Bombyx mori: one gene and its partner. The protein of the gene in region 1 interacts with the protein of each later gene in a biochemical or structural test. Links are inferred from orthologs where the notes say so. Each region holds a gene or a part of one and is shown in the gene's direction. Other genes may lie near its edges. The genes, in order: tyrosine-protein phosphatase 10D and uncharacterized protein LOC119628334.

The links.
Region 2: of the proteins of tyrosine-protein phosphatase 10D (region 1) and uncharacterized protein LOC119628334, one has a biochemical effect on the other in vitro, tested with the Drosophila melanogaster proteins (2 studies listed by BioGRID). The link is inferred for Bombyx mori from reciprocal best matches to the Drosophila melanogaster genes Ptp10D and Gp150.

Annotation. Positions count from the first base shown.
Region 1 is NC_085119.1:17,685,867-17,690,302, forward strand, and holds the start of tyrosine-protein phosphatase 10D, read left to right. Parts: upstream 1-1,361; 5' UTR 1,362-1,448; coding exon 1,449-1,694; exon of another isoform or gene 1,695-3,771; intron 3,772-4,436.
Region 2 is NC_085111.1:6,224,177-6,228,736, forward strand, and holds uncharacterized protein LOC119628334, read left to right. Parts: upstream 1-1,461; coding exon 1,462-4,029; 3' UTR 4,030-4,348; downstream 4,349-4,560. Other genes in the region: probable hydroxyacid-oxoacid transhydrogenase, mitochondrial, read right to left, coding at 4,553-4,560.

The DNA of each region.
Region 1 (4,436 bases):
CGACACGAGGTCGTATTATTCGCAGATGATACATCTTTATTATTTAAAATTAAACGACAATTACAAGTCTATGACGAAGTGAATGATGCGATTTCGTGTGTGGTTCATTGGTTCCTTATCAATAACCTATTATTGAATAGTAAGAAAACTAAATGTATTAAATTTACTTTAAAATGTATTAAACCATCTTTAAATGTGAGACAAGTGGATAGTGATGTAATTGTTTCTGAGGAATCATTGGAGCTTGTTGATTCAACCGTATTTCTTGGTATAACAGTGGACTCCAAACTGCAGTGGGGACCTCATATTCATAAATTGGCGAGTAAGCTCAGCTCTGCAGCATACGCAGTAAAAAAAATTAGAATGTTAACAAACGCGGACACGGCTCGTTTAGTTTACTTTAGTTACTTCCACAGTGTCATGTCCTATGGCATTTTGCTATGGGGCAATGCGGCCGATGTAGAAATGATATTTATTCTGCAGAAAAGAGCTATACGCGCTATTTATAACATGCACTCAAGGGAATCCCTGAGGGAGAAATTTAAAGAAATTAAAGTTCTCACTATGCCATTCCAGTACATTTTTGAAAATTTGATGTATGTTTGTAATTATATTGAGGAGTTTCCTAAACAGTCGGACATACATAATAGAAATACTAGGAACAAACACAAGCTTGTTGTGCCGATGAGTAGGTTACATAAGATACGAAATTCATTCGGGTGTTTGTCTGTGCGCCTGTACAACAAAATCCCACAAGATGTTCAGAACCTACATATACATAGGTTTAAGAAAACTATTAAAGAACATCTGTGCAATAAAGCTTACTATAAAGTCAATGATTATCTAGAAGATTGCACAAAGTGGGAATGAGTTGCTCGCTCCAGGCATTTCAATATTGTAGTAATTGTTACGTTATAATACTCAGTGTAAAAAATTCATATTTAAAAAAAAATTAATATTAAAAATAAATAAATAATAATTTTATATGTAAAAAAAAAAGACATGCCCGCTGAGTTTCTTGCCAATTCTTCTCAGGACGGAGGCTAGTTCTTGTGAATTGGCGGTAGTTCTTTTGACGTTCAACAAGTATGTACTTTCATTTATGTTGAATAAAAAAAATATTTTTTGATTTGATTTGATTTGATTATATTTTTATTTAGAATTTAATTTAAAAAAAAGAACGTTAGTCTCTTTAATTAATTGTGGTTTCTTTTTATTATTTTATTGTTTAATCAAGAAGATTCATGCTTTTACATTGTAACACGACAGCAAAAAAAGTATAATAGATTTTGAGTATTTATCGTTCTCTTTTGGTAGAATTTAGTAGATTTTAACCTCCACAAGCAGTAGATTCGTCAAATAAAATCTTGTCACACTGGTACTCTGTGACCAAAACAGAACTTCACAAAAGTTGAAGAAACGAGTCAAACAGGCTGTAATGTTTTAAAATGGTATTGTGCACCTGTGTGTGTGCCACAACAGAGCCAAACGAGTGCAATTATATTATTATCAGAAGTGATGGCACAAATGAACCATGTCCTGCTATAATGAATCAAAATAAGTGTAGTGTTTCGAAGAGAAAGTGTCCTGAAAACGAAGAATTGTCTTCAATGACGTGGAAAAGGTTGAACTTGCAAGCGACTGGAGGATGCGCACGCGCTGCGGCCCTGGCACTGCTTCTAGTTATCCTTGCGGTCAGTACGAGCCTTTTGTACGGATTACTGATTTTCCAAAATGCATTTTGGATGACCTTTTTGAAAATTTAATATTATAGTAAAATGAATTAAACAAACATAAATTCATAACAGTATATTGCATATTTGTCAACACATTTATTATACAAAATTTACATTTAACTAATTTGGTTAACTAAGTATTTCTCATGTGTCATTATGTGTGCATGTTTCACTTATTTATAAATGAAGCTTTATAATACCATTTTACCAAAGATCTTTGCTTAGTTTTCGGTTGTTAATAGTTATATAGCTCACGTCCCACCTGGTGGTGGCTACTGAAATCCATAAACAAAAGTCAATAGTGCTGGCCAAGGATGAAGGCTCAGGTTTCCCATTTCTATTAAATTACCAATAGGACAGCTGACTTAATCTAATTTCATTATAGAAATTCTTTTGTAAAATAAATGTGTTATCCAAAATTAATATAAATTAATTTGTAAATCTGTTCAGAAATTGATAGCTTAAAACATCTTGAAATCTAGTAGTGGGGGCACTTAACAAAAATAAGATACTTTTCCATGTTTATAATGCTGCTTTGGGAATTATAAATGTTTGGAATTAGCTTGTGAACTACATAAAGACTTATTTTTTTAAAAGAGTTTGTTTTTACACATAAAAAGAAACATTTTTAAAAAGGTTTTTTTTTTTCATAATAAATTAGCAATGAATGCATATATTATAAACCAATAATCTGAAGCAAAAGGCAGGCATTCAGAATCAAATGCCAACAAAAATCTGCCTACATGACAATGTAAAGCTGAAATGAATATTCTTTATTTTGTTTTTAAACATTATTTGTAATTGTGCTTCAATACTAAATGTGGAGATCTAAAAGCTGCGTTTCTTTAATCTGTGCTTACAATATAATTCTGAATTTCTAAATTCTTAGTGCCTAAAATCATGGCTAGTGGGGCATGTGGTACATCCAGCATCATCCTGTCTCTTTATGAAGTAAATTAAAATTTTGGGACTAACTATTTTTTTTAACTGTAATTTTTTTTTCGTGAACTTCATTTGTTTTCCTCATACCACAGCACTATGAATTTATAAAATGTGGGGAGTGAGGTGATATCTAGTTTTGAACCTGAACAAGCAATATATTAAATTATATTTTTTGTATTTTAAGTAAAATATAATATATATTTATTGCTTCCCAAGGTGTTTCCCATTATATTTTAAATGCCTTATCGTTTCTTCAAACCAATCATGGGGATCATTGGAGGGGAAAAAAGAACTTGGAAAGAAAAAACTGAAGTCGTCATGGCCTAAAGGATAAGATGTCCAGTGCATTCATATCTAGCGATGCAACAGTGTTCAAATCCTGCAGGCGGGCACCAACTTTTCATTAGAAAAATTACGTACTTAACGAATGTTCACGATTGACTTCCACGGTGAAGGAATAACATCTTGTAATAAAAATGAAACCTGCAAAATTATAATTTGCATAATTACTGGTGGTAGGACCTGTTGTGAGTGCACACGGATAGGTACCACCGCCTTATCTATTTCCGCCATGAAGATGTAATGCGTTTCGGTTTGAAGGGTGGGGCAGCCATTGTAACTATACTGAGACTTTAAAAGTTATATCTCAAGATGGGTGGCGCATTTACGTTGTAGATGTCTATGGGCTCCAGTAAACACTTAACACCAGGTCGGCTGTGAGCTCGTCCATCCATCAAAGCAATAAATATAAAAAAGACAAACCTGTTCATCACACTATGTTTGCCCGACATTGGAATTGAACCCACAACACGCGGCGCAACAGTCAGGGCCAATAGCTACTGCACCACCGAGTTACTCAACGATTGCTTGCACAGATCACATCAGAAGGAATTCACTGAGCCTCTAAAGATGCTTGGACCGTAAAAAAAACCACTACCCGCTTTTCATGTCAAATCGTCATAAGGGTCCCTCCCACTTAATATTTTTTTTCTGGGCTGGTAGCCGATCCTTTACGAGGTCCCCGCACCTAGGGCGTGCGCGCGCTATGTGGGACCGGAGAGTACGCAGATGCTAGGAGAGGACCGTAGTAGAGGTCTGTTCTGTCTGCTCTTTGTTTGAGTGCTGATTATCTATATGTGTATATGTATATCTAAACATATATAAATATGTTTGTCTGTCTCTGGTACCCATAAAACACGGGGGATCCTAAATTGGGGCCGGAAGATCGTGCGTGATTTGTTCTCAGTTATTATTATTATTATTAATAGTTACCTGCATTATTCACCACCTGGCTGGGCTCGGATCTGAACTATAAATTTTTTTATTTTTTTAATTGCCTGAGTTTTAGTCCAGTGAGCCATTTTTCTTCCAATGTATTATTGAAGCCGCGGGGCGAGGCTAGTCTAAAAAAAGTCTCCTCAGTTACTCCTTATATCATCAGCTACCTATCAGTGAAAGTTTCGTCAAAATCGGTACAGCCGTTTCAGAGATTTGCCGGAACAAACAGACAGACAGACAGACAAAAATTGTAAAAAATGTTATTTTGGTGTATGTACCGTATATATTCATAATATGCATGTAGTAAAAAGCGATTATTTCAATATTACAAACAGACACTCCAATTTTATTTATATGTATAGATTTAAACCTGAAGGTACAGTAAGTTAACAAAATAAAACCTATAAACAATGTCGCGTTCCCAGCATATTACCATATTTTGTAATCAAACATTGTATACACAGCTATAAGCTATGTCAT
Region 2 (4,560 bases), on another chromosome or scaffold:
TTACCTTTTGCGCTCTCGGCATATCGGCCGGTAAATATCGGCCCTTCATAGTTCATTCAGTTACCGGCATCCGTGAAGTCGACACGGTCGTGGAGCGCGATCGCATAGTGCCCATTGTCGTAGTGTGAAAGTGCAAAGACTTTCTACAATAAATTATCAACGCAAAGCTATTGTCTAATCCTGTTCAGTGAGTGTGTATTTTGTTTACTGTGTTATTATTTATTGAAGTGTAAAACGACATACGGACTTTGACGATCATAATTACCATGCAAATAAAGAAGGCGTCTGCGCCGATATTGCGAAATAGTTAGAAGGAAAAACCACTGAGTAAGGTCGGATGACAGTAAATATTCATATCAGATAGCGTGGTTTTCATTATAAAGAAAAAAAAAAACGTGGGTTTTTTTAAAATATTTTTTTAGTTAATTGGTTTGTTTGATATTAAACGTTTCATTTAATAATTGATTACGGTTATACTACTGGTGGTAGGACCTCTTGTGAGTCCGCACGGGTAGATACCACCACCCTGCTTATTTCTGCCGTGAAGCAGTAATGCGTTTCGGTTTCAAGGGCGGGGCAGCCGTTGTAACTACATTGAGACTTTAGAACTCATGTCTCAAGGTGGGTGGCTGATTTACGTCGTAGATGTCTATGGGCTCCAGTAACCGCTTAACACCAGGTGGGCTGTGGGCTAGTCCACCCACCTCAGCAATAAAAAAAAAACAAACAATTACCTATGCAACGAATTTACGATGTTCCATAGATATGTAAGCTTTGCTTTTAAATCGATTCCATAATTATATTAATTGTTTTTTTTTCCTATATTCAAAAATATTCCAATACAATTTTAACAAACCAAGAACTCTTGCTATCCGTTTACTGAGGCAGTCAACAAACGGACAGATGGACAATGCTCAGATAAGATTTCACTAGAACAATGCCTGGAACATCTGTTCTCTTTGTCTACATTTTATTGACGAAGATACAATATAGGCAGTGTCATTCATTATACGTGTTGTGGATATTTCCATTTGTAGCGTTGATTTTAAATCGTAATAAATACATACATTCCGTTTTCAAATAATTTGTTTAGATGTTATTTTTTTAAGCTTTCATGCGTTAAACAACTAATTAGTACAGTTCTTATAGCAAAATAAACACTCCAAAAACAAGCCTTTTAAGAACCAACAAATTCGTCAGCCCAGTAGTATTAGTTGAATGATTTCCAAACATACATTAAAGGCCATTAATATAATTGGAAATTTAGAAACCGAAGTCATAATTTTTTTTGGAAGAACATGCCCACTCGATTCTCTTTGGTTGTCGCGTCCAATGATTGATCACAGCACCGCCACTATTCTTGACTGCTGTCAGATAATTTAATAATAGTCAAAGATAAGTATGTATATTTTGTCGGTTGATTAAAATATCCCTTTGTCACGTTTCAGAGTTCGCTACGACATGGGGGCAAGGTCCCGGGAGTTACTACTGCTCCTGGCAGCATGCGCGCTGGTATTCGGCGAATCTATCAATAAAACCGTCAAGAAAGACAAAGACGCCGACAACTTATTGGATCAATATGAGGATTACGAACCCGCGGAATACCAAGAGGTTTTGTACAACGAGGACAGGCCCTGTCCCAGAGACTGCATATGCTCTGTATCTCAGGGATACAGACAAGCCAAGTGCAGCTTCCTCGAAATCGGTACACAAAAGTTCGGCGATGATATCCTTGATCTCGTGGTCGAAAACGCAGATCCCCGCTACCCGATTAATCTAGACGACTTCATGTTCAAAAAACTCGGACTTCACCAGGTTGCTACTGTAAAAATCGTGAACAGCACGATTGGTTATATCGCCCCCAATGCTTTCCATGGTGTCCATGACCTTTACGCAGTCAACCTATCCAACAACAACCTAAAGAGCCTTCATCCTGAGACGTTTGCGAACAATAAGAAGCTGTTACTTCTAACGCTTTCAAACAATCCCCTCAAATTTCCTGCAGCTGGGTCCGAAAATTACTTCTTGAACGCTTCCTCTGTACAAGAGCTTGATGTTTCATACTGTAACATGCAGTACATCACGGCAAATACTTTCAAAAATATGCCTGGTTTGATGTACTTGAATGTTGCCGGTAACAACCTATCCGATATGGATCCAGATACATTCAAAAAATTACTCGATCTCGAAGAGTTAGATCTCCGCAACAATCACATTAAATCGCTCCCCGACGACATTTTCTCGGAAAACACCGAACTAGCAACACTGCATTTACTGAAAAATCCTATTGATACAGTGTATGGCCTCCAAATATCCGATTTGCTTACACTTAATGCGGGACAAACAAACATTAAGTTTGTTGGGCCATCAATGTTCAACGGTATGGGTCTTATTGCTAATCTCAACCTCAGCGGAAATAGTATCGAGAAAATCCATAACCAGGCATTCCACAAATTAGTAGAACTCAATTATTTAGATTTGTCGTATAATAATTTGGATTACATGTCCAGTATTCTTATCAAAGAAAACATCGAACTTGACATCTTCAAAATTTCAAACAACCCACGGCTAAAACATTTACCGGTTGAAGGTTTCACATGCTCATCTGATCAGTTTAATATTTACTTCTTTGGCGCATCTGACTGTGGTCTAGAAGAGATTTACGATAATTCTCTGAAAACATTCTCTGCTCTGTCAATAATTCATCTATCGAATAATAAATTAACTACCATAAACAATACCGTTTTCTCGCACTGCCCTAAATTAATGGAAATCAATCTTGCTTATAATATGCTCACCACTTTAGATCCTAAGCTCTTCGCAAAGAACAATGAACTTGCAAAGCTTAATTTACAAGGTAACCCTCTTAAAGTACTTTCTGCGGAAATTTTTGTCCACACTCCGGCCATGATTTGGCTAGACATGAGTCACGCTGAATTAACCTCTTTGTGGAAAGTAGATAAAAATCACCCACTGACAGTTCTTATCAATTTACTATTCTTGAATGTATCCCACAATAGAATTACGGAAATTAAACAAAACGAATTAGATAATTTGAACAAACTACGTACTTTAGACATTACCAACAATCCGTTGGCCTGCAGCCGAGACTTTGAAAACCTCATGACATGGCTGAACAACCACACAGTGTTGCCTACTGGTAACTCTGCCAACGTCGCCAATATGGCTAGAGATGGAAAAGATGATGATGCCACTTACAGCTGGGATTTCCTGACTATCAAGACTTGTGGAACTACAGTTATTTCCCATCCTGTTGAACCATTATCGGCTGTATCTGACGAAGAAATTTGGGAAAGAATCGACAAGGACACTGAGGGTAATTTCGATTTGAAGAACACCTTAGATGACGGTAAAATTCCTGATGATACCAACGCTTCTGCTGACAGCAAACTAATAATTGATAGCACTGATGAAGAATCAGATGACGTTGATCCCGATGATGATGAAGACGAGGGCGACGATGATGACGACGAAGACGACTCTGGCGAAGATTACGAGAATGATGACATAGATCTTAAATATGAGCTCATCAACAAAACGGACTCGAAATCTGAGAATACAAAGAAATCTGAACAACAGGCCACAGAGAAAGTTAAGATTGACATCAAGCTCTTAGACTTATACGAAAATTCTGAGCCAGACGTCTATGTACGAACATCGACCGAGGAAGAACACGGCCATTACAGCTACTTGTGGCCAATATCCATTGCCATCCTCGGAGCGCTTTTGTTGCTAATCGTTATCGCTAAGGTCGTCATGATGACGTGTAAATCAAGAACCAGGCAGCTCAGATACAACAGTGCCATTATTGCAGCGATGAGTCAACCCGGCCGCACCAAAAAGGACTGCGGCTTGGTATACCAGCAGTTGTCCGAAGACCTCACAGGTCCGGCCACTCCAAAACTAAGCCGATATGCTCCACTTCACAGCGTCACTGTCAATGCATCCAACATGTCCTATGAGAGCAGTCCCTTCCACCACAACAACATCGTGCCAGAAGCAGTGTGAGCCACACGTACAAAATTTAATTTTTAAGAGTTATATCATGAAACTAACAACTGAGCTAACTCTTTTTCAAGCAACAAGTGATAGAATATACGCGCTAGTCACACAATAAATATTTGACACATTTCATATTAGTGCCTTTATGTGTACACTCGAGTAACAATTCGACCAAATTATCTAGCGCTTTTTTTTTGAATTATCAAGTAACAAATCGAAGTCAAATTACTAATTAATTTAAGATTATACATATTATTATATATTATACAAATTAGTTGATAGGTTTATTTTATGTACTTAAAAATATTAAAATTAAATACTAAAATGTGGTTTTTGTTTCATCTACCCAAAAAAAACCAGATTATATCCAATATAAAAATATTTATTTTTGAAATACTATATTTAATTACTAAAACTAATTAGTTCTGTAACGATTTTACAATGGCGAAATATATATTACTAACAAGAATGATGTTTCATTTGAGCAATCACTATCAAATACAATTTACATTAACTTACATTGAAACAATTAGTAAA